Linked DNA regions of Drosophila melanogaster. The protein of the gene in region 1 interacts with the protein of each later gene in a pairwise test. Each region holds a gene or a part of one and is shown in the gene's direction. Other genes may lie near its edges. The genes, in order: koi, CG31038, Es2 and eco.

Region 1 (7,693 bases):
AATTGGACGTAAAAACGATAATGGTAATCCGAATGCAGTGTCCTGCCGTACTCACCATCCTCGTCGTCGGTCTCAATTCCGGGTATGGTGAGCATTTTGCCCAGCGGCTGCAGATCTGTGCCGGCCGTCTTAAGGGACTCTCGCTGTACGGTTTAAGTTTATAACAATTTATACAGAAAGCGGTGTCTGGAGAGAACTCACCCAGTTGCTCCTTTCATCCTCATAACGCCGCGTCTGCGATTCTTCGTTTACGGAGGCAGGAGCCATGTCCAACCAGTAGCGATTGGCCACGGAGACTTTGAGCGTGGGAAAGAATGGAATCATTGACATTTTCGACGGAATCTTGAATGCGCTGTTTTCAATATTTGTTGTTCTTTCTCTGGAAGCCTTTGATGCGATCTGGCAACGCCGCAACATACGCTGTAAATAATACCAATTTTACAGGGGCGTAGTCGTAGGGGCGCATTAAACGCAAATTACAATATTAATTGTAATTGTAATTCATCAATCTAACTATGTATTTTGTTATTGTCAAGGGAAGTCCGATAACCAAGGGCTTAATACAGCTTACTCAAAAATATATATCTTCACTATTACAAATTGACCTTAAGAATCAGAACATAACCAAAACGAATAATATATATTATTCAAAATCTTTTTATTTATTAAAGAAGCTATAAAAATTGGACAAACTAGACACAGGAACGGTATTCCCTTGCAGTTTTATTGGTAGTAAAGTTCCAGATTCATGCCATCGTGAATTTCATCTAAGAAAGCGAAAAAGAAATGCGGGTAAAGCAAGGCGTTACAAGGACACTAAACAAGGGCTTACAGTCAGATAGGCGAATCGGGTCCTTGAAGATTGTGTACCACTTCTTCAGGACAATCTTCTCGTGCTTTGTGCCCGTTTGTGCCGCGATTAGTTTCTTGAGGTCCCCAATCGTGTCGTCCGGGTTGCACTTGACGCGCACCTGTGGGTTAATCGTTGGTTAACGATGCTTGCAGTTGCCTTGGGTACTTAGCTGCTTACCTTCTTGCCAAGACGATCGTTACACGTTATTTCTATCATATTTTATGGCTTTGCTAGACAAATCACAACAATAAATTCTTGATTTGTTGTGGTATTATTGCTTAGGGTTGTCAAATACCCTTTACCGAATACCGAGTGGTTTGAGGGATCGCTAATTGTCCGCAATGCTATCGATATTTTATTTAATTTTAAATATGTTTAAATAACAATCATATAGAAAGTCGAAGTTAAAGATATCAGAAGTCTGAAAGTATACTTAGAAAGCTCAATTGCTTGTCATGACGCAAATCTATCACATCCTTGTAAAACGATAATATTTGTTAACAAATTTATATTTAAATTTCAGTCTTCTTCTTAGTTATCAAGCCAGAAGTCGAATGTTTCGGCGTTAATAGAAAAATAATGTATGTTTGCATATTTGCACACCTCATTCAAATTATTTTTCTTTGTTGAACAAAAGATAAAAGTGTAAAAATTAAATTTTTTATTCTTGACCCATTATTTCTCTTGGTTAATGAAAACAAATTCCGTTTCTCAACGTTCCCTTTAATAATCCATGTGAACAATCGATAGGCGGCGAAACATCGATGATTGCTAGAATAATCGATGTGTCTTCCCCGTTCATTCGAATTTTTTCGCCGCTCGGAATAGACGTGATTTTGCCGTCGTGACGGTGGAGGCTATTTTTAAAACGGTCGCGGCGCTTGCAAACAAAATTCATATCCAGCTATTCAACGGAGGAATTCATTAGTACGGCAGTACAAGAAATATTACTAAGTATGTCACATATTTGCGGGCAAACTGCCGAAAGCACTGTGCGGAGTTTTTGTTTGTGTGCGTGCGTGCCTCATTTTTACATTCACGTACATACATATGTACATATATGTACGCTATGACGCAGCTGTGGAAAACTTGTTTGGGTTTCCATTTCACCGAATCACGGAATCAACGAATATTTGCGCCTGTGCTGCGAACTCATTTTGGGCAGTAAGCCATTGTATTGATTATCGCGCGTTGTTTGTGGATGGCGTGGTCCGCCGGAGCACCCTGTAGCGTCTACATCCCTACCCCGCTCCCTGGAGTCCGATATCTGTGCGCGAAAGGCCGGGCGGGCGTCGTTTTCGGCTATGTGGCCCAACACCAATGGATCCCCACGGTCACTGGCAGCAATTCGCGATCCGAAATGCTCCGCCCTATTTTTAGACGCGGTCTTTGCGGCCTGCCTACTTACCTACCTCCCCAATGCATTCTAATTAAAAACCGGGCACTGCGCTCATTTCCACACGCATTGCATTGCATAATGCGGCATTAATGTGGCGGGGAAAGCTCGCTTCGGAAAGCACTCGAGCATTGAAGTGAAGAGACCGAATGTTTTCCAGCTGCCCAATTGTAAACAACCCACGCCTAGCACGCACACACACGCACACGCACACACACACAGACTGGTTTTAATGTTTACTCCAAATAAATCGTTGCCCATGTTAATTATTTGTGTCTTCGCAGGGCCCGAGCACTGGAGGGAATCTAATCATGAGCGAAAATACATACCAGATAGAAACGCGTCGGCGGTCGCGTTCCAAGACCCCCTTCCTGAGATCGAGCTGCGACCATGAGAACTGTGAGCACGCCGGAGAGGAGGGGCATGTGCACCACCTCAAAAGGAAATCGGCGGCCCCCAATGTGCAGTAAGTATCTGGGATACTCCCGAAATAGGCCTACGGACGAAGCCCTTTATCGCGAACCCATAACATTATTTTTAGCCCTTATAAGTAGTAAAATTGTAAGCATACAATATGTTTACGGAGTTCGAGTCAATTTCATTTTGAGAATTAGGAGAATTCAGTTTAAACTCTATAATTATTTCCTATTTGGTCCTGAGTCACCTTTTTCTATACTGACCATTGGTTTCAGTAAGCAAGTTGGACTGTAGTAAGACACATCCATAGCGACTGTATGTTTGTATGCCGTGTGCTGCCGCCATGACGTCACCTTTTTGTTATTCACGCTCGCCGCGAATTTGAATTTCGAAGCGGGTAGAAAACGAAGGCAAAGCCGCATACAGGGTGCAGCATCTGGTCGAGCTTCGTTAGTTTTTGGCGCCTATTTCGAGAGCGCCTGGTCGGTCTGATGATCAGTCTTCAAGACTCGATGACGACATTCGGAGTCCAACGTCGGCCGTCAGAAATCGTTTTCACGTTTTAGCCTCTAAATCGAGCATGCTGGGGTGGGCTAACAGTCGTTTGCGCTGAAGGCCAGCGGCGGTTATAAGCATATTTTTGTGTTTTTGTTTTGATACGTTGTACTCGTCGTTTCAAACGATTCCGAGCACGTTATCACGGACTTACTGAAATATTTTTCCCAAATCTTACCTCTTCTCTGCAGAACGATAATAGAGGAGCATATAGTGGAGTCGAGTATCAGTAAGAAAACCCGGGCAAAAGCGTTCGCCCAGCTGACCTCGGACTATTCGAGCGACGACATGACTCCGGATGCCAAACGCAAACAGAACTCGATCACGGCCACAGTCACGTCGATTCTCACCAAGCGATCCGGCGGCGCCACATCGACACCGCGGAACAGAAGCCAGCTGGAGACCACACAAAACACGCTGAATTCCGCCCAGGAAAAGCTAAACCAATCGAACGGTAACCTCAGCTCGGGAAATGTCAGCGATTATCTGGCCTACATCGAGTACAGGGATGCTGGTGAATACTGGAAGTGAGTGAATCATTTCTACACATTTTAAACAGTATACTAATGATGCTATTTTGCAGCAAAACTCCCAAGACGGACTATACCTACTCAGAACTGTCCCCTCACCGACGCCAGTTGGCGCCAGGAATTGTGGCCATGCCCAATATGTCCAGAAAGAGCCTAGAGAACCATAACGATCGAGTCAACTACATGGTCCAGCAGAACCCTGCGCAAGAGGAGTTCATCCGCCGCCGCTACCAGTCCAAGTATACCCAGCAGGTTAACTATGACTCCGCAGATGAACTGGACGCCACATTTGGGCAGCAAAAGCAGAGCTGGTGGCTTATCCGCCTCATCCAACTGGTTGTTAGCAGCATTACCACCGTGTGGAGTCGGGTGACCAATCTCTCGGCCACGGAGACGACTGCCTATCAAAACTACCACGCTAAGCGCCAGCAGAGTCAACAAGTTGGACTTTGGTGGAAAATAGTACAGACCATCGGAGGAGGACTTGCAAGTTTGCTGCGCTACCTGTATGTTTTCATCGGATCGGTGCTGAGTTTGGACACGTGGTTGCTGCGATCCTCGGATGCGGAAAACAAGTCGAAAAAGCGCTTCCTCATATTTCTGCTGATTTTGTTGCCCTTGCTGCTGCTGTCGGGTGAGTAGGATTTAAAGCACCGTCCGATTTTTGATGTAAAGTAAAATATGTTAGAGCGTGTGCCGTGACCTTGTACCGGTTCGAGAATTCATACTACATGCATATAGATCACCTCCAGTCGTTGTATTTATAAACTCGTCTGGTCGTTGGCAGTCGCGTGACGCCATCGATAATTTGTTAGTAAAATCCCGCGGATCAGATTTAAGTGGCCATGTGATGACATATTTTATTTTCCATTCACCGTCTGCCAAGGTTAAACGCCTAATTTGCTTTGCCTTTGCAGGTCTGTTCTATTACATACACCCCAATGAAACTTTCCCACCCAAATCCCTGTCCGAATACACATTCACCCTACCTGAGTTGCCCAAAATCGATGTGAAAGACTACCTGAACCAGGAGCAGTTCGAATCGCTACGCTCTCAGGCCGCCGAGCATGCGGTCCGCGTTCGCGATTGGGCCGACGACTACGTTTTGTACTTGAGAACCATCGGTCAGAACGTGGTCAACAAGGGTCGTCAGTTATTTCAGGGCGATGATAAAGTCTATTATGAGCGTGTGTAGGGAACATCTGCAATGGGCAGGCTACAGCTACCAGATTTAGTGATCTGGTTGGGTGCAACGCCCCTTGCACTTAGACAAATATGAGAAACTTTCTTTATGAACAATATGAGTACAAAATAAAGCATTTGATCCGTTTTTTGTCCGTCTGCTTGACCCGCAGTTTTGCGCACTTACTTTATAGTTTTTCGTCCCGTCATTTACCCACTTCATAGGCAAACCCACCTCTCATACCCCACCATACTAACCGACACAATTCCCAACAAAATGCAACATCACAGGCTGATGGGAGAAGGATAGAGCTCGCCGCTGTTCAAATTGTAAAACTTTCGTAATCGTTAACTTCATTCTTGTCCAACAATTAGGGCCGTTATCCGTCTGGGTTAGTGCCCTAACTAAATCTTACTTGTTGTTAAACAACGTTTAATTGTAATTTGTGCACTGTTTGCTTTGTAATAGTCTATACAAAAATAAATCGCAAACAATTTCATATGAAACATCAAGTACAAAGAAGAGTTGTTTGTTTTATTTGCCATTTGTTGGAAGTTCGCTAAATGGTAAGTAAGATGTAAACAAAGCAATATTAGTTGGCCAGAATCGAACTCTATCCTTCTGCATTTGTGTTGGAATAACCCCAAAAACGAGTTCCCTGTTACCTCAGTCCGGTTGATAATTGAAGTTGGTAGGGACTGTAAATGTAGAAGGATTGCCAACTAATAGTGCTATGTTTAATTTTCTCCTTCCCCAGGATGGTTGCTCTTGCAGGAGGATCAACGTAGTGCTTACGTTCAGCGTGCGGAAGCACTGTTGCCGCTGCCACTATCTATTTTCGGCTCCCTACGTAGTCGATTTTCAAATGCTGGAGCCACCTTGAAAAGTTGGATGGAAGTGCCCACCGTCAGGAGTCCCCAGCGGGAAGCCGAGGCCATTAAGGTAAACATGGCCAGCATTGAACAGAACATCCAGAAAGCCTTGACTGCCGAGGAATACGAAAATATCTTAAACCATGTAAACAGCTACGTGCAGCAGTTGGTCGAGCTGAAAATGCAGCAGCATTCCAAGGAGCTCGCACCGCAACAGATTGAACTCTTTGTTAAGCTGATGAAGGAAAACCTCAAGCAGATTATGTACAAAACGGAGCTAAGCGAAAAGGATTTGTCTGATCTGGCCATAAAACTGAAACTGGAGCTGCAAAGCTCAGGCGGTTGGCAAGATGGAGCGAAACTATCACAAGCTAACTTAGAGGAGATAACCAAGCTAATTAAAGCAGAGGTTCACCTCCACGAATCGCACTACACCATTCAATTGGACAGGATAGACTTTGCATCCCTGCTGGAGCGTATTCTTGCTGCGCCAGCATTGGCAGACTTTGTAGATGCTCGAATAAGTCTTCGGGTGGGAGAGCTCGAGCCAAAGGAGAGTTCCGGTTCCTCAGATGCAGAAGTCCAAATTGAGCGTCTGAACAGGGAAATCGCCTTCATTAAGTTGGCTCTCTCTGACAAGCAAGCGGAGAACGCCGATCTGCACCAATCAATCAGCAATCTGAAGCTCGGCCAAGAGGATTTGCTGGAACGCATACAGCAGCACGAACTTTCCCAGGATAGGCGCTTCCACGGGTTGCTGGCTGAAATAGAAAACAAACTGTCTGCGCTTAACGACTCGCAGTTTGCTCTTCTCAACAAGCAGATCAAGCTATCCCTTGTCGAAATTCTGGGCTTTAAGCAATCCACCGCTGGCGGTTCCGCTGGCCAATTGGATGACTTCGATCTGCAGACCTGGGTACGCAGCATGTTTGTGGCCAAGGACTACCTGGAGCAGCAGCTGCTAGAGCTGAACAAGCGCACCAATAACAACATTCGCGACGAGATTGAGCGTTCGAGCATCCTGCTGATGAGCGACATTAGCCAACGACTCAAACGGGAGATTCTTCTGGTTGTGGAGGCCAAGCATAACGAGAGCACCAAAGCGTTGAAGGGCCATATCCGCGAAGAGGAGGTGCGCCAGATAGTCAAGACGGTGCTAGCTATTTACGATGCCGACAAGACGGGCCTGGTGGACTTCGCCCTGGAGTCGGCGGGCGGCCAAATCCTTTCCACGCGTTGCACTGAGAGCTACCAGACAAAGTCAGCCCAGATATCGGTGTTTGGAATTCCACTCTGGTATCCCACCAACACGCCGCGGGTCGCCATTTCACCCAATGTGCAGCCAGGGGAATGCTGGGCATTCCAAGGGTTTCCCGGATTTCTAGGCAAGTCGCGGGTAAATAGTAATTGCTAAAACAGTCCTTATAGTTTTCTTCCCACAGTGCTAAAGCTCAACTCGTTGGTGTACGTCACTGGATTCACCCTAGAGCACATACCGAAGAGTCTATCCCCCACAGGAAGAATAGAATCAGCTCCTCGCAACTTCACTGTCTGGGTAAGTTTGACTAAGGGTGAAAGGAAGTGGTGCATTTCTAATACGACTTATCCATCAACTCAGGGCTTGGAGCAGGAGAAGGACCAGGAACCCGTATTGTTCGGCGATTACCAGTTTGAGGACAATGGTGCTTCCCTCCAGTACTTTGCCGTTCAAAACCTGGACATCAAACGGCCGTACGAGATCGTCGAACTGCGGATCGAGACGAACCATGGCCATCCCACCTATACATGCCTCTACCGGTTTCGCGTGCACGGCAAGCCGCCGGCCACATAAATCTGTTCAAATCTCTTCTAGTGACCTAAGTACTGCCAGGTGTACATAATGTCTGT
Region 2 (5,020 bases), on another chromosome or scaffold:
GGGCCGAATCGAAATAAGTTATTTTATCGCCTAAAGTCTTAACCTAACTAACCTATTATAATTAACTTTTAAATGATATATATTTTGTGTAAAGTAAATATGTGCAACCAGGACGCTAAATGTAACTTTAATTCTACCAACGAAACTTACGTTGGCGGGGGTTTGGTTTTGAAGTGCTTCCGGATTAGAGTACGTCTAAACATTCATTCCTCCAGCCAGGCATGGTATTTAGCAAAGCTTAACCTTCATATTTGGGGCTTCCTGAGGTGCGAGCTGGTTGAAAGTTAAGTAGCTGGCAAAGTAAACAGGCGGTTGTAATTCTATACTGATACTGCAGACATTCGTAAATCTTAGGTATTATAATTCCGGGAAGGGATGACGTATAGATAATTAATGAGGGAGCAAGTGAAATGCAAGACTTGAGTGGAACAGCCTTCGGTTTGAATGGTTTGACTCCCTTTGACTGCCTTTTTGCCGTCCCGCCTGATTTGCATAGTTTGGGGCTGACCGTCTACTCGCTCAATAATGAATGCGTCAGTTTCAAATGGCATTACCCCCGAAAACGAAGTTGATAGTCTGCGACAAGTAGTATGTGCAATGCTATGTGGCACCATAAATAACGTGGCCATTCTAGTGTCGCATTCTGGGTCCTTTTGCTTAGCAATGACAATAGTAAAAGTGCTGAAAGGGAAGCACGATTAGAGCTATTACTTACACTGGCTATGTTTATGTTTTTATATGTACTGTATGCATTCATGGCGCAGCAATTCTGCAAAATTTCTGCATATTTGTTAGGGTGGACCTGAGTTGTACTCATGAGTACTCATACAAATCACTCATACGTAGTGTGGACCTTTTCATTTGATTTTCACAAGGAAAGGCATGTCAGTATCCAAAAGCAATATTAAGTAAAATAAATGTCCTGGTTGGGATCTTACTTTCTCCATAAAAATAAAGTCATGGGATGTTTCCGAAAGAGGAATCGTGTTAGGAATCTATGTTAGCTTGCCTAACAGGTCGTATGAGTAATTTATTAAACGCTTGGCTTTCTTGTTATATCTGATCATTAACTTGTATATAGGCTATGATTCCCCATGAAAGTCCACCCTACGGCACGTACTCCGGTACTTGCACAGGCAATCAATAAAGATTTTTTTTTGGGGAGTTCGGGTGGCGGGTGCTTTGTCGCGATGCGGCAACAACAGCTGTTGCAACGCCAGACGACCCCCCAAAAAAAGGAAAACCGAGCAGCAGCCAGACGCCGGCAACCGGGGAACCTCATCATCGTCATCGTACTCCAGCACCACCCGTTTCAAGAAGCAATCAATGCACTTCTGGCCATGTGCCAAGTTTCTCTTCCGAAAACCTGGAGAGGAGCAGAGAATCGGCCAAAAGAGAGGAGCAGCGGTGTATAAGAGCTGGTTGGGTTCCATTCGGTTGCGGTTGAAAAGCTAAAGTTAATTTAAAGTTCAACCCGTTTGGTTTCTAACTTTTCGGAACTTTAACCGTGTATTTTGGGTTTGGTTTATATAGTTTGGTACAGTAGTAAAAGATACGAAACATTTGCGTTGAAATCAATTTCAAATTGTTGTTTAATTAAGAAGCCAAGTTCCTTATTTACGTAGGTGCTCACAGTGGAATATAAGAAATAATTGTTCCTAAAATAATCCTTTGTACACGAATACAAGAACTTACTCAATAGTTTAAAATGCTTACCTATATTTTTGTAACGAAATATAATTCATTTTACATACAAATAAAAATAAACCGAATTTATTTGCATTCAGCTTGGTAAATAATAGAGTAACTGCGTGACTGCATGCGATGCAAAATTATCTTTGAAGTGCAGACTTTTCGAGTTGTGCCGCGTCACTCGTTTACCCAAGGCACCCACACTGTCGCACTCGCAGACACACACACACACGCATACCAGTGCGGCCGTGTAGCAACAACAATGTTGAGCAAGGTGCGCTGAGCCTCGCTCTTTCGAATCTTTCTCTCCGTTTCGGTTTCAGTTCACTTCTGGCTCTCGTGCAAAGCGCATCGTACAGCGGATATATCGCATCTGTATCGTATCGTAAAACGAATCGTATTCGCATCCGTGTCGGTCGCATCTGCGTGCTAGTGTGTGTGAGTGTGCCCGGGTGTGTGCGAGTTGGTGTGTCCGCTGCAATGGTCTTGGCTATTTGAAGCGCAAAAGTGCAGTATTTACTGTTTGGTGATTCACTCAATCATTAGAATACCCAAGAGATAACTATCATATCTTGGGGTTTTCCCAACGAACCGATCCGATAAAATGGAAACCCTGTAAACTCATGCTCCCCCGCCTTAAAAATCGGTTCAGTGATTTACGTGTGGGTGTGGGTGCAGTGCTTAAATTATACACGTAAAATTTAAACAAATAAAGGCTGTTAAAAAATCGTAAACTCGAGATCCAGCTAGTGCCGAATTCAGTGCTAAAGTGAAACTTCTTTGTGCAAACAACAAAAACCGTTAATTGCCAGCGCCATTCTTTTAAAGGCCCCGACTTATAAAGAGTGTTTTCAGTGCCTATATGGTTTTACTTAAGTCTTTTGTTTATCGTTGTACCCATATTGTTTTCAGTTTATCAATATATAGATAATTATCTAAATGGAGGAGCTTTGTTAATTGATATAACAAGCCTTAAGCGTTAATGTTCCCATCTCATAGGTCCAAGTCAGAAAACCAATCCCCTTTCACTTTAAACAGATCAGAATCCAAGGATTAGGTCGCTTATTCTTTTTCCAAACTAATGAACAATTAAATGGCACGGCGTTGTTGGTCGCAAAGTTTCCATTGCCCGATGCAGAGACCCAAAACCAAAATAAACGGAACCCTTTCACTTTAAAATCCACAGAACCCCAAAGATCGAAAACGAGTTTCGCAAAAGAGCAAAGAGCCGAGCGGCGGCCATGCTTATATTCCATATCGAATAACTGAATAGCCGACCAATAAAGTGTTACTTGGCACATCCAACATCCAACGTTCAACTAGCAATCCAACTTACAATATCCAGCATCCAACTAGCTCCGTTGCATTGGCCTATATTCAAAATAGATCAGAGATCGACTCGAGAGACCGGAGGAGATGTGGATGAGGTGGTGACGAGGAGCTGCGGAGGAGATCGCCATGTGAGAAGAGCAAAACTAGTTTCCCATTTGCGCGCTTATGCTAAGTAATAATAATAAATAAGCGCAGTAGTCTCTGGCTTGCCGTTCGAGAAGTGACCTAAAAATACTGGTTTCGAGTGCGGTTTTGGCGTGAGAACGTGTAGCACAGCGAAGGCACCACCACCACCACCAATGGCCACCACAGCCGCCGGATCAGCAGCCACCACCACCAACACGATGGTGGTGAAGCGGCCAGGACCACCAGTGCCGCCCAGGCCCAAAGCAGCAGCTCAGCTGGCCAATGGAGCAGGAGCCCCTCCGATCATTCAGAAGAAGCCCACCTTCGTGAGCCAGCTGAGTGCAGTGGGTCGTACCTTGGTCTACAAGTCGCCAACGGTCAATCTGCCCAAGAAACAGGCCCAGACCCAGACGCCCACCACGGCGGTGCCAACGCCGCCGGTGAAGCCCCTGAAGCTGCGCAAGGCACCGGATGTGCCCACGGCCAAGCCCAGGGATTCAATGACCTCGGTGGTCACGGTCAACCGGCATAACTCGATAAGCGTGATCGGGAGCACGCCACAGACCACACCCCGCAAGGACACCCGCTTGAGCCTGGGAAAGGTGGACTTCGAGAGGGCGGGCCTCCAGCCGGCCAGTCAGCCACTTCCCAGGCCACGGAAAATTGTTCAAGTGCCCGTGGCCACTCTAGATGTGGAAGACATACCAGTGGTGGCTCCCAGCCCATCATCAAATGGACTCTTCAGGCGATCAAAGACCACCCTGGATGGCAGCCAGAAGGATTCGGCATCCTCCCCGCACAATGGAGGAGGATTCCTGTCCGGACGGACCGTGGAGATCAAGAATAATCTGAAGAACGCCGCCGAGCGTTTGTTCTCGGAGATAATCATCAACCAGAGCCAGAAACAGGCAGCCACCGACACCACCATCATAACCAAGCACGAGGCCCTGAAGCAGGAGTCCGATGTCCTGGCCATCCAGTCATCGGGCAACTGCATGAGGATCAATGTTAACGGCGGCCAGACGAGCACCATGAAGAGCTCGATCAGCGTGGGCAACACGCCGCAAAAGAAGCAAGCCTTCCACGAGATGCTCATCTCGGAGCTGGCTGCCATGCGGAACAAGTCCTGCTCCCTGGAGCAGCTACCCACCGCCAAGTCGCCGCCACCCACCACTTCCACGCCCAAAAGCGTGGCATCTCGCAGGCGCTACAACTCTATAGATGATGCCGACACCGAGGATGTGGATGCGGACAACGTGGAGGATGCCGATGGTGACGTCGACGAGGAGGACACCCTCACCTACGCAGTCAATAAATCGCTGAAGGAGAACATTGGCAAGGAGGGCTCGTCCTCGAGGAAGCGCTGCCCCTCGGGCTGCTCCACAGACTCCTCGCCCTACGGAACCGAGCGATCCCAGCGCATCCGCACCTCGGATTGGATCGAGGTGGGCGACAACGGCACGGCAGTTACTCTGACTAGCTGCCACATCAGCCTGGAGGACTCGGGCATGGAGGACGAGGAGCGGCTGGACGACATGTCCTCGGGAGTGGGCGACAGCTGGGACAGCGTCAAGGAGGCCGAGAGCGAGAAGCGTTCTCGCAACGGAAAGCGGTGAGTCTCGAAACTATTACTATAATTAAAATTATATCTAGTAAGTGCATCTAATGAGATTCGTTGATAATGAAGGAACAGATAGTTTTAGCATCCATAAATGAAGCTATAACATTATTTATTGCTATTGCCGTTCATTAAACGTTAATGAGTATGGAAATTAGCTGTTTGCCGAGGGAAAACAAAATCTTGACCATCAATTGAAGATCTTTAAAAACGGCCCCATACGTTGGAGGTCGTAATAGTTTCGAGCTGAGC
Region 3 (4,063 bases), on another chromosome or scaffold:
CACAAAGAGAAATTAAATTACCGCTGACATACAGCTGTGTTCATAAAAATAGCAGTGCTTGAGTTTAAAATAAAAAAATCTTAAGATTTCAAGTTTTAATGGGAAAATTTTTTTTATAATATCATTAGGTATTTAATTTTAAACAATTCAACAAATGTTTCACATTCATTTTTTTAATAGTTTCGAAAATATAGATTAAAACAAGCAGAAATAGCAGTGCTATGAAAAAATAGTAACAAAATTCAACTTGACTTAGAACGAACTTATTCTTAGCCGATTTGCTTCTGCGTTTCTTTATTTTTTATTTTTTTAATTTATTGCCCTTTTAAATATACAAATTCAAATTCAAATTCAAACTCACTTTTTAGAAAATATTGATCATTTCGGGAGTTTACGTTGGTCAAAACCAGACACTGCTATTCTGTTGAACAGCCTAAAAGTTGTGATTTTGCTCAAGAATGTAAATAAAAAAAAGGATAGCATAGAAAACTAACGACATTTTCTTTTTTTCCCTATCTACACATTCCAATTCACAAAAATAAGTGGAATAAAAATTCGATCCCGAAACATGAAAAAAAAACCGTCGCATTTCTTAGTTTCTCTTGCACTGCTATTTTTTTGAACACAGCTGTATGTACACATGGTTTAAATATATGGCGTACAATTTTCACATCTTTTTGCTGGCTCACTCACACTTAGAAAAAAAAGAATATGTTTGCCCAGTTACAAAGCTAAGAACCTTTAAAAGTTTCTTTGGAAACTCGCCTATTGATAGCTTATCATGAATTTATTTCCGTGTCCATGATATCACCGCTTATCACACCTTATATAAAACACTCAATAAGTTTTTCAATTCAAAGAGCAAAAAGAAAATTAAAAAAAAAAAAATACGATCCCGATGAAAATTAAAAGTGAAACTTATTTTGGAACAACATTTAGGCAGGTACAACATTTACCACAACTGATGTAGGCCAAAAACGAGAGGGCTGCAATCACCAACAGGTAAAACTTCATGGCTGATAACTGATGTAACTAATTTCACGACGATCGAATGTTGCGACTGGTTACGGAGCTGAACCAGAACTAAGGGAGTAGAAAAGGTTCAATGAGTGATTTGAGTTTTGCCGAGCTTTATACCCTATTCATATATACCTACAGCTTTACGATAAGGCACCACGACAACAGTAATTCTATTGGTGAGTTGAGAAAAAAAAGTGTTTTGAAATGATTCACGACGCTAAAGTTGTCGCTCTTTGGCATACATTCATTTTCATAAATTATGTTCAGCGGGTTAGTCAGCGCACTTGCGAAACTTCCAGATGTTTTAAAAATATATCTTTAATGTTTGCAAAATCGTAATAAATTTCATTTTCAAGTGCTAGCTAATCGCATTAAAATTTCAATTCAAATGCTAGCGCGCATTTGAATGCGTTCCACACTTATCGATAACACGTCGATAAGTACTCCTTGCCAGAGTTTTTAATTAATATAGTTTAGCAAAATATCATTTTGTTTCTATTTAAATTTAAATTGGTTCATACTCACCAATTTATTGTAAAGGAAGTCGAAACTTTTAAGCTGATTAATTTCACCTTTTACATCCGAGAATTAAAAAAAAATACAGGGAAATATTTTGAACCGACGTTTTGTTATTCTGAGTGAAACTTAAAACGGTCACACTTTGCTGGCAGACAAAAATATTCACTTTTTATATCTAAACAAAACAAAGTTATTTACGAAAAAAGCGAGATATAAACGGCAATGAGCGCCACGACTAGAACACCTGCCACACCGGGGACACCTGGCACTCCCGGCAGCCTGGCCATGGAAGTGGCCCGCGTCCAGAATTCAGCACTCGCCGAGTTTAAAAAGCCCACGGCGATGGTGCGCCACAAGAACAAGCCAAAGATCCTTACCGAGGAGAAGTACATCGAGGAGATGTCTAAGATCATCCAGCGCGACTTCTTTCCCGATCTGGAGCGGCTGCGTGCCCAAAACGACTACCTGGACGCGGAGTCACGGCGCGACTTTGTACAAATGGCCGAGATTCGGGAGCGCTACAGTCTGGGCAGGATTTCCGGGACAGGAAGAAGCACCAGCCGACGGAATAATGGTGGGTATTGTACTCAATTGGATGAACACCACTGGCACATCGCTGTCTGCTACTATCTTACTTGAAATCAAGTCTGATGAAATTATACATTGGCCAAGTTCAATAGATAGACCCATTAACTTTTTGAATTCCTTCATTTCAGCCATGTCCCCGGCCACATTTGAGACACCAGTGAGTCAGGCGAAATGTAGCAACACCCCATTGCCAAATTCCCGGGCCACAGACACACCATTTTCCACGGACGGCTCCGAGAAGAGCGATGCCGAGGGCAGGGACACCACCGCGAAGCTATCGCTGGACGCCTTTCTGCAGAAGTACACCAGCGAGGATAACCAGAGCTTTCAGGAGATCATCGAAACGGCCGAGGCCAAGCTGCGCCAAAAATACGCAGTACTGTACAACCATGAGAAGCTCTCCGCAGAGCAACTGCAGCGGGCCCTAATGCTGCCCAGCATAGAAACGCAATTCGAGGAGCCAGATCCGCTGAGAAAGATCGAAACCTGGAACTACACCAACATGAATTCCATTATGTACGTGCCCGATGGCGTGGAGTACACAGAGGAGGAGCGCGTCCAGTTGGCCGAACGGAAGCAGAGCATCCAACACAATGCCACCAGGCTGCCCGATGAGGCAAAGCATCGCGAAATGGACACTAAAAAGCTGAATGATGAAGTGCCCCAAAATGGGGCTGGTGGTGCCACAGCTACTCCGAAGGTACGCGGCTTCGATTTGTTGCGTTCACCATCACCGCGACCCGGAGAGGCTTTCTCGCCCATAATGACCTGGGGTGAGATCGATGGCACTCCCTTTCGCCTGGACGGAGGCGATACCCCATTGCGGCCCACACAAGGACCCTCGTTCCGGATTAATGAGAACTCTCGGCGCGAAAACATCGCCATCGCTTTGGCCGAAAGGGTCAGCGAAAGGATGCGAAATCAAAAACAAATGGCTCTGGATACGGCGCGTCGTAACATTGGCTCACCACTGATACGCACCAATATGGAACGGCTGGCCAGCATGTCGCCGGCAGCGCAGCTACTGGCCACGGGTAAGCTGGGTATCCGCGGCACGCCCCGATTAAGGCACACACCATCGCCGATGAGCGGCAGAAAACGAAAGGTTACGCCCGGCGTGGTGAGGAGCACCAATACGCCAATACTGGGTGAACCCAAACCCAAACAGCAGGCCAAGATTAGCACTCCGGCTAAGAACGTTACCATTGATACGGGATCCACGCTCACGGACGATCTGCTCAAGATACCCACTAAACGACGCACTGCAGCCGATTTCTTTTAGTACATAACATTACCCATAACCCAGCTACATTATTCATGTTTAATTTCATTAGAGAATACTATACATAGTCCCACAGTGTTGTTACGAATTGTATATTTCTTATAAATAGATGCCGAGTTGTTGGAAAGAAGATTTAAGAATGCGTAAATCATAAACATCATACACATATCTTATCAGCTTTGAAGTTCATTAAGATGTATTGGGTGTTGTAGCAAAAACACTTGCGCACATTTTTAGTTTCATTTTAATGTTTCAATACGAAAAACCCCATTACCACAGATAGCAACATACTGATTAACTAGCTAGAACTGCTCATCCCTGTAATCCACATGATCGCCGGACTTGAACTTGAATGCTTCCAGGACTTTGATGAATCGCTCCGTCGTTTGGGCGGGAGTCAGCATGGTCTTGGACTCCCTTTGCTCTCGAAACATGGCGACCACGGCGGGATCGTGGGCCTCTCGCTGAACCTGGACGGTCATCTGTGTGTCTATGACGCCGGGCGCGTAGTTCAACACCAGGGTGTCCTCGGCGGACTCCTCGGTGGCCAGCACTCGGAAGTACATCTCACGGGCTGCCTTCACCGTGCAATAGTGTGCCATCGAGGATATAGGTGCAATGGCTGCCAAGGTGCTGAGATTAACCACCAACTTT
Region 4 (6,199 bases), on another chromosome or scaffold:
ATTGCTGCTACGCGGCGGCGGAGGCGAGCGCCGGCTGAACATAGTGTCGTATCCACGAGAAACGCTGCAGGAGCGCAGGCTGCCGCTTAAGGTGGGCGGTAGAGGCATGGGTTCGCGGCGAGAGATGGGCGGCGGTGGGAAGTCGCGCATTCGCGAGGTCTGATAGCGACGCTCATACAGATCGCGTGAGTCCTCGAAGCGGCGGTCATAGTAGTCATAGTCCTGCGGGCGGGAAAACAAGATTTAGATTAGTAGCAGCACAGAATGTGAATAATACTTGGCACAATGGATGATTTGATCGGGGGGGCAAATGGATGCTGAATTTACCCTAAAGCCATCCATGATGCGGTCACGCAGGAACGGCGGCGGCGGTGGTGGCGGCGGATACGGGTCACGACCGTACATGCGATCTCTGTAGCCGCCGGCGCTGAGGGGCGATGGCGGCTCGCGTCCGCCTCCGGCACTGCCGTACAGTCGCGGACACTCTTTCGACCAATGCCCGGATCTTCCGCACCGATAGCACTGCTCCGGATCGCCCATGCCCGGCTTGGGGCGGACCCGACTGGTCGACACTTGAACCTTGAGCGGCTGGCCATCGACAACGCGACCGTTCAGCTCCTTAATGGCGTCCTGCACATCACCGACACAGTCCAGATGGACAAAACCATAGTTGCGCACAATGTCGCATTCGACGACGGTGCCGTATTTCTGAAACAGTTCCCGCACCTCCGGCGCCCGCGTCTTGTCCGTTAGATTTCCCACGAAGATTTTCGTGGTCGGCGTATTGGGCGCCCGCCGGCTCTTGGCCGCCTCCACCTTGATGGCGAACTCGTTCAGCGTATAACCGTTCAGATTCTGTATGGCATCGCGACCCTGCTGCTCCGTCTCCATGTGAACGAAGCCATAGTTCTTCACCACGTCGCACTCGACGACGGTACCGTACTTCTCGAACAGTGCACGCAGCTCGGTGGCCTGTGTCTTCTCGTCAAGATTCCCGATGAATAACTTGAACGTGCCGGCTCCGGGCATGGCGGCAGCGGGTTCCGCTGCGTGGTCGTCCACGGTTATATCGTTTATATCACTCTGGGTGGGGTAATCCCGGAAAATGGATATCTACGCGGCGGCGGCGGCGGCGGCTGCGTCGAAAATATATTTATATATATTTGCCTATATGTTTGTATGTATATACCGCGGTTGGAGGACGACAACGGCGACGAACAAACGCGATACCTCAAGAGAAGAGAGAAGACAGTGCAATTGTTTTCTATTTTAACCAATACGAGCAAAGGATAAACATTAAGGCAGCAGCACAAGGAGCGCGAGTAATCTTAATAAACTCGGTTTTAAATCGCATTATTGGCGTTGTGGCCTAACGCATACATAAAAAAAGATGGCGGCGGCTAGAGTTCACATTTTCTCACGGTTCTCGTTGGCGTGGCTTTCAAATGGCGGTACGGATAATGTGGGGGAGCTAACTTACCTGATCGGCAGCGGGCTTTGGCTGCAAATTAAATTATAAACGCAGAGCTTTATACTTTCTACTTTCCAGGCCGAGCAGCAGATTTTTCCAAATCGATTCGCACTTCGTCCGCAATATGACCGTGTGACGTCTGGAAGAGTGTGACTGAGTCTGACTTGGGTGGAAATACCAGATAGAGTTTTCCCGTTATATGATCACCTTAGCTCTGTAAAAATACCGGATAGTTAAAATAATACGGAAATCTTTAAAATATATGAAGATTAGAAAACATAGAATGTCTAGCGATCATGATCGTAACTCGTTAAGTGGTACTATATTGAATACTTTGTCTTGGATCAAGAATATAATTAACATTACTTATTTATTTTACAGAAATCGTAGAATAAGTCCAAATAATTTACGAAAAACTGCAAGCTGACTTGATCGCTTCGAAGAAAAATGTTAAATGTAAAATGTGGTAAAAAAATTATAACTAACAGAAAATATTTACATTGCAATGTATTTGATTTTTATAAACATTGATGTAAAAAAAATTTAAAAACAATGTAATGCATTTAATATATATAAACATTGCAGTAAAAACATAGACGATCTGGCATGTGTTGGCAAACGACCGAAGAGACCCTGAACGATCCAACCACCCCCAACACTAGGCAGCTACAAAAAAGCGCGAAGGAGTCACAATTTGGACAAAGTTAATGCGAAATAAAAGATTTGCGCGCGATCATGGAGACCCCGACGGGTAGTGGGCGTCCCAGTCGCATGGCCACTCCGCGCCTTTCGGAGCGCAAGCGGCAACTGTTTGGCAGTCCCAGATCCAGGCTGCGCCAAATCAACGACGACGAGGATGATGCGGACGTAGACAGTCTGGGTGTCTTGCCATTAAAGACCCATGTGGCGGCCAACAGGAAGGGCAGGAGTCTCTTCGCCGCAGTCCCCGGCAAGTCAAGCAGCAGTGCGAACAGCAGCCCGGAAACCAACAAGGAGAACAAAAAAACCCGTGGCGGAGTCATGACTGCCACGGCGGAGCAGCTGCCCCAATTGTTTACAGCCACCATGCGGCTAAATAGCAACAGCAGCAGCAATAGTCGCAACAGCAGCCCCCGTCAGACGAGGGTCCAAAGAAAGCGAGCGGATTCTTCAATGTCGTCGCCCACCTCTTCCTCTGAAGGAACTCCTTCTTCCAGAGCCAGAAATAGCATCAGACGCAGTCCACGAACCTTCAGTGCGCAAAAGGATCCAGATGCGTTCTCCTCGCCAGAATCTTTTCAGACTAGGCTAAGCAAGGTGGCAGCTATGCTAATGAAGGGTCAGGATTCAAGATCAATGTTAGAAAAATCAAAGAAGAAACACAACCACAGCCTAAAGACCACTGCCCAAGTGCATACAACTAAACCGAAGAAAACGAGCCCAGCTGAAGAGTCCCAGTCGGACGACGAGAAACCTTCTAGCAGTAAGAACTCCAGGAAGAATACAGAAGTTCGTGAAACAAGGAGCTCGCAAATCATCAGTCCAAAAACCAGGAATAGGCGAAGACCCTTCACGTCGGCGGATATAAACTGCAAGACGCTGAAGGCTGCTGCCCATCTACATGAGAACATGAGGTCGTATGATGAAGAAAAAACAGCAGCAGTTAAGCTAGAAAACAGCAGAAGCAGATCCAAGTCCCCGGTAGAAGTGTTCAAGTCAAATGACGATGCAGTAAAACGAAACACAGGAAACACCAACAATAAAACAGCGAAATCTTCCGAAGTTGCCACAGCAAAAAGGCCAGAAAGCCCAGGAAGTAGTATGAAGATTGATGTCGAAGTGCCCGAATCGGACGAAGAAGCATCCAATCATAAGCCTCAAAAGCGACAGCACCCAGAAACGTCCACCCCGGTTGCTCCTTCAGCGGACGCCGACTCTGGTTCGCCGCAGAGCAAGATGCGCAAGGTGACGCTGAGCAGCAGCATTCCCACCATGGCCTTCTATTCCCACAGTGGAGAAGCGGTCACAAAGTCAAGAAGGCGGCCGTCCATATCCAAGAATTCGCTTAAACAACCAACGAAAATCTCGCCAACCTCCCGTCCACTATTGGGCATTAATAAGGGAGTTCACCACAAAATACGCAAGCGTCACGGTTTTGCCAACCGACTGCCAGCCACCGATATGGACAACATTCTCAACTCGCTGAGCAACGAACGGCTCAAGAACCTGATCACCACCAAGCGTGAAGAGCGCGCCAAAGTGGAGGAAGTCCACCAGATTCTCCGTAATGCCAAGGACCCGATCAAAATGGCCAAACCATTGAGTGTGATTGAAGCCGACGATGCTAACAACAATAACAATCTGCCAGCAACCGCATGGCAAGAAACTTCCGCCGATTTCTCCGATCTTAGTGATGTCGAAGACATTGATCCCATCATCGAGGTGGAGCCTATCATACCAATAATTCGCCACGAGCCGGTCCAGAAATCCCCAACCGCCGAGCCAGCCGATCTAAGCAAACGAAAGTTCTTCAAATCGGGCCGCCGTAGTAGCACCTGCATGGAGGTGAGAATCACGGACAACATCCGGGCCAGCGTCAGCCAGGGCAAGATTGAACTCGTCCAAACGATACGCCGTAAGCCGCGGCAAGTGCGCGTCAAGTCGGCCACGATATTTTCCGCCGAGCAGGCGACTGTGGATGCGATCCTAAAGAATCTGGACGATACGGTGGTTGATGAGATTGTAGAAGCGAATCCGGTGGTACAGGCAACGCCCATTGATGCGGAGGAGACGACCATGGAAACGGAGTCGCTACCGGATATAATTGAGTATGCCCCAGAGGCGAACGATGTGGAAATTGATCCCTTTGCTGAGTTCCGTCAACGTTTGCCATACCAAACCGATGATCCCAATGTCGTGGAGCAACAGCAAATTTTACTAGAGTTTCTCATTAGCAACAATATTTGCACCGAAAAGAACTTTGAGATATTTATTGCAAATCCGGATGACTACAAGGACGAGGCCAATCAAATTGTGGACAATTTATACATGGTGGTGAACAGCGAGGAGGCTGCGCAGCTTGCTCAGATGGAAACAGTGGAAAATACAGCGGTGGCCATTGCACCAAAACAGGATGCGCCAGCAGTAGAGGAAGTTCAGCCAAAGCTTTTCCCCATATTCACTCAACGCTTACAGCCCGTTGTCCAGAAATCGTTGCGGCGTCGGCCGGATACATCGATGAGATTGCTAACGGCGGCGGGTGGATCGAATCAGTACCAGATCGATGCTGGTCAAAAGGCCTTCGGAGCACGGCAGTGCCAGCAGTGCGGATTGGTGTACACCGTGCACGAGCCGGAGGAGGAGCTGCTTCATCGCGAGTACCACAATTCCATCCATGTGCTGCGCTTCAAGGGCTGGATCGACGAGGACATTGTGTCCGTTTATCCAGAATGGGCCAGCGACGGGCGCATCATACGGATCAACGAACGCGCTCCGACAGCTCGGCTCGACAGACTGCGGGATCTCATTGGTGTGGTGGACAAAGAGCTGGGCTATTCCTCGTACATTGTGCCAAAGATCTTTGTAGCCTTCATAGCAGTGCGCAAGCAGCAGATCGTAGGCTTCTGCCTGGTGCAGCCCCTCTCGCAGGCCCATCGTTTCATCCAGGTCGATGGCACGGACTACTTCAGCGAGGAAAGCTACCCGGCCAGGTAAGACATCCCCTACTGCATGCCCCTTCCCTTGTCAACGGCTAAAATGTGCCTTCTTTCAGCTGCGGCGTCTCACGCATCTGGGTTTCTCCGCTGCAGCGACGCAGCGGGATCGCCAGCAAGCTGCTGCGAGTCGTCCAGTGCCACACGGTGCTCGGTCAAGAGATCGCTAGGGAGTGCATTGCCTTCAGTACGCCCACCGACGATGGTCGGGCTCTGGCACGCCAGTTCACCGGGTTGGATAACTTCCTCACCTACGACCAGTGATCGGGGAAATCTATTGAAGCTATTGAATAGCTGGATTGTTTTTGAGTTAGGATTGCTTCGAAACCTGTAATAGTTGATAAGCAAGTGCGATTATGTTACTAGCGGCACGAAGACGCGCAATTTAACATGTTTACAATGGTGGTTTAATATGCCTGTTTTTACGCAATGAACACGATATTTTCTTCGAGTCGCATTAATTTTGAAAATATAGATTAATATTGTTTATCTTACGTGTCGGGTTTTAAAACATGTAAATTTGGTGTTACAAAAATAGCACATACGTTAATTTTTAAATTGTATGTTTATAAACATTGTTTAATATATTTAAATTCTAACAAATAACTTAATGTCTAAATGTATGCAGTAAAAAATTTACACAACCTGCACTTGCGATCGATGAATGGTTATCGATCGCTTGCAACCATGCGGCGAGTCCACAAAGTGCCATCACTAGCACACTGAGCCTGGCTTTTGGGCGTTGTTTTCGTAGCAGCAAAGTGGCTGAAATTAATAACATTTAAGAGCAGAAGTGTGTAACACACCTGAATGGGACTTGTGCCAATCTCAGTGACCACCAATCGCGCGCAAATGGTAAGTGCAATCCGCATATAAGCTGCTAAGTGGGGAGCTGCTGGTGCTGCTAGTTAGTTTACTTTGGTGACGCCACGCCCAATGTGACAAATTGGAATCGGTGGCAATTGGTTTCGGGGTGCAAGTGGCATGCAGCGTGGTGGTTGAACCGCTTTCTCACTCTTCTTCCCCTGCCCTCCAG

What was found.
Region 2: the proteins of koi (region 1) and CG31038 interact in a two-hybrid assay, tested with the Drosophila melanogaster proteins (one large-scale study listed by BioGRID).
Region 3: the proteins of koi (region 1) and Es2 interact in a two-hybrid assay, tested with the Drosophila melanogaster proteins (one large-scale study listed by BioGRID).
Region 4: the proteins of koi (region 1) and eco interact in a two-hybrid assay, tested with the Drosophila melanogaster proteins (one large-scale study listed by BioGRID).

What each region holds. Positions count from the first base shown.
Region 1 is NT_033778.4:6,809,369-6,817,061, forward strand, and holds the start of koi (klaroid), read left to right. Parts: upstream 1-1,650; 5' UTR 1,651-1,807; intron 1,808-2,419; exon of another isoform or gene 2,420-2,533; 5' UTR 2,534-2,560; coding exon 2,561-2,715; intron 2,716-3,163; exon of another isoform or gene 3,164-3,326; intron 3,327-3,412; coding exon 3,413-3,748; intron 3,749-3,804; coding exon 3,805-4,385; intron 4,386-4,668; coding exon of another isoform or gene 4,669-4,946; exon of another isoform or gene 4,947-5,444; intron 5,445-5,691; coding exon 5,692-7,191; intron 7,192-7,248; coding exon 7,249-7,361; intron 7,362-7,424; coding exon 7,425-7,637; 3' UTR 7,638-7,693. Other genes in the region: CG15237 (uncharacterized protein), read right to left, coding at 56-143, 202-330; ubl (ubiquitin like), read right to left, coding at 724-767, 833-971, 1,031-1,069. UniProt on the Drosophila melanogaster protein: Component of the LINC (LInker of Nucleoskeleton and Cytoskeleton) complex involved in the connection between the nuclear lamina and the cytoskeleton. Is required to nuclear migration in eye and to anchor klar in the nuclear membrane.
Region 2 is NT_033777.3:29,875,049-29,880,068, forward strand, and holds the start of CG31038 (uncharacterized protein), read left to right. Parts: upstream 1-2,010; 5' UTR 2,011-2,067; exon of another isoform or gene 2,068-2,878; 5' UTR 2,879-3,323; coding exon 3,324-4,762; intron 4,763-5,020.
Region 3 is NC_004354.4:8,459,810-8,463,872, forward strand, and holds Es2 (Es2), read left to right. Parts: upstream 1-1,669; 5' UTR 1,670-1,761; coding exon 1,762-2,113; intron 2,114-2,255; coding exon 2,256-3,409; 3' UTR 3,410-3,540; downstream 3,541-4,063. Other genes in the region: CG15347 (uncharacterized protein), read right to left, coding at 957-1,014; Sptr (sepiapterin reductase), read right to left, coding at 3,712-4,063.
Region 4 is NT_037436.4:7,334,899-7,341,097, reverse strand, and holds eco (establishment of cohesion), read left to right. Parts: upstream 1-1,757; 5' UTR 1,758-1,788; exon of another isoform or gene 1,789-1,832; intron 1,833-1,852; 5' UTR 1,853-1,937; intron 1,938-2,056; 5' UTR 2,057-2,206; coding exon 2,207-5,160; intron 5,161-5,222; coding exon 5,223-5,427; 3' UTR 5,428-5,656; downstream 5,657-6,199. Other genes in the region: lark, read right to left, coding at 1-222, 328-1,029. UniProt on the Drosophila melanogaster protein: Acetyltransferase required for the establishment of sister chromatid cohesion and couple the processes of cohesion and DNA replication to ensure that only sister chromatids become paired together.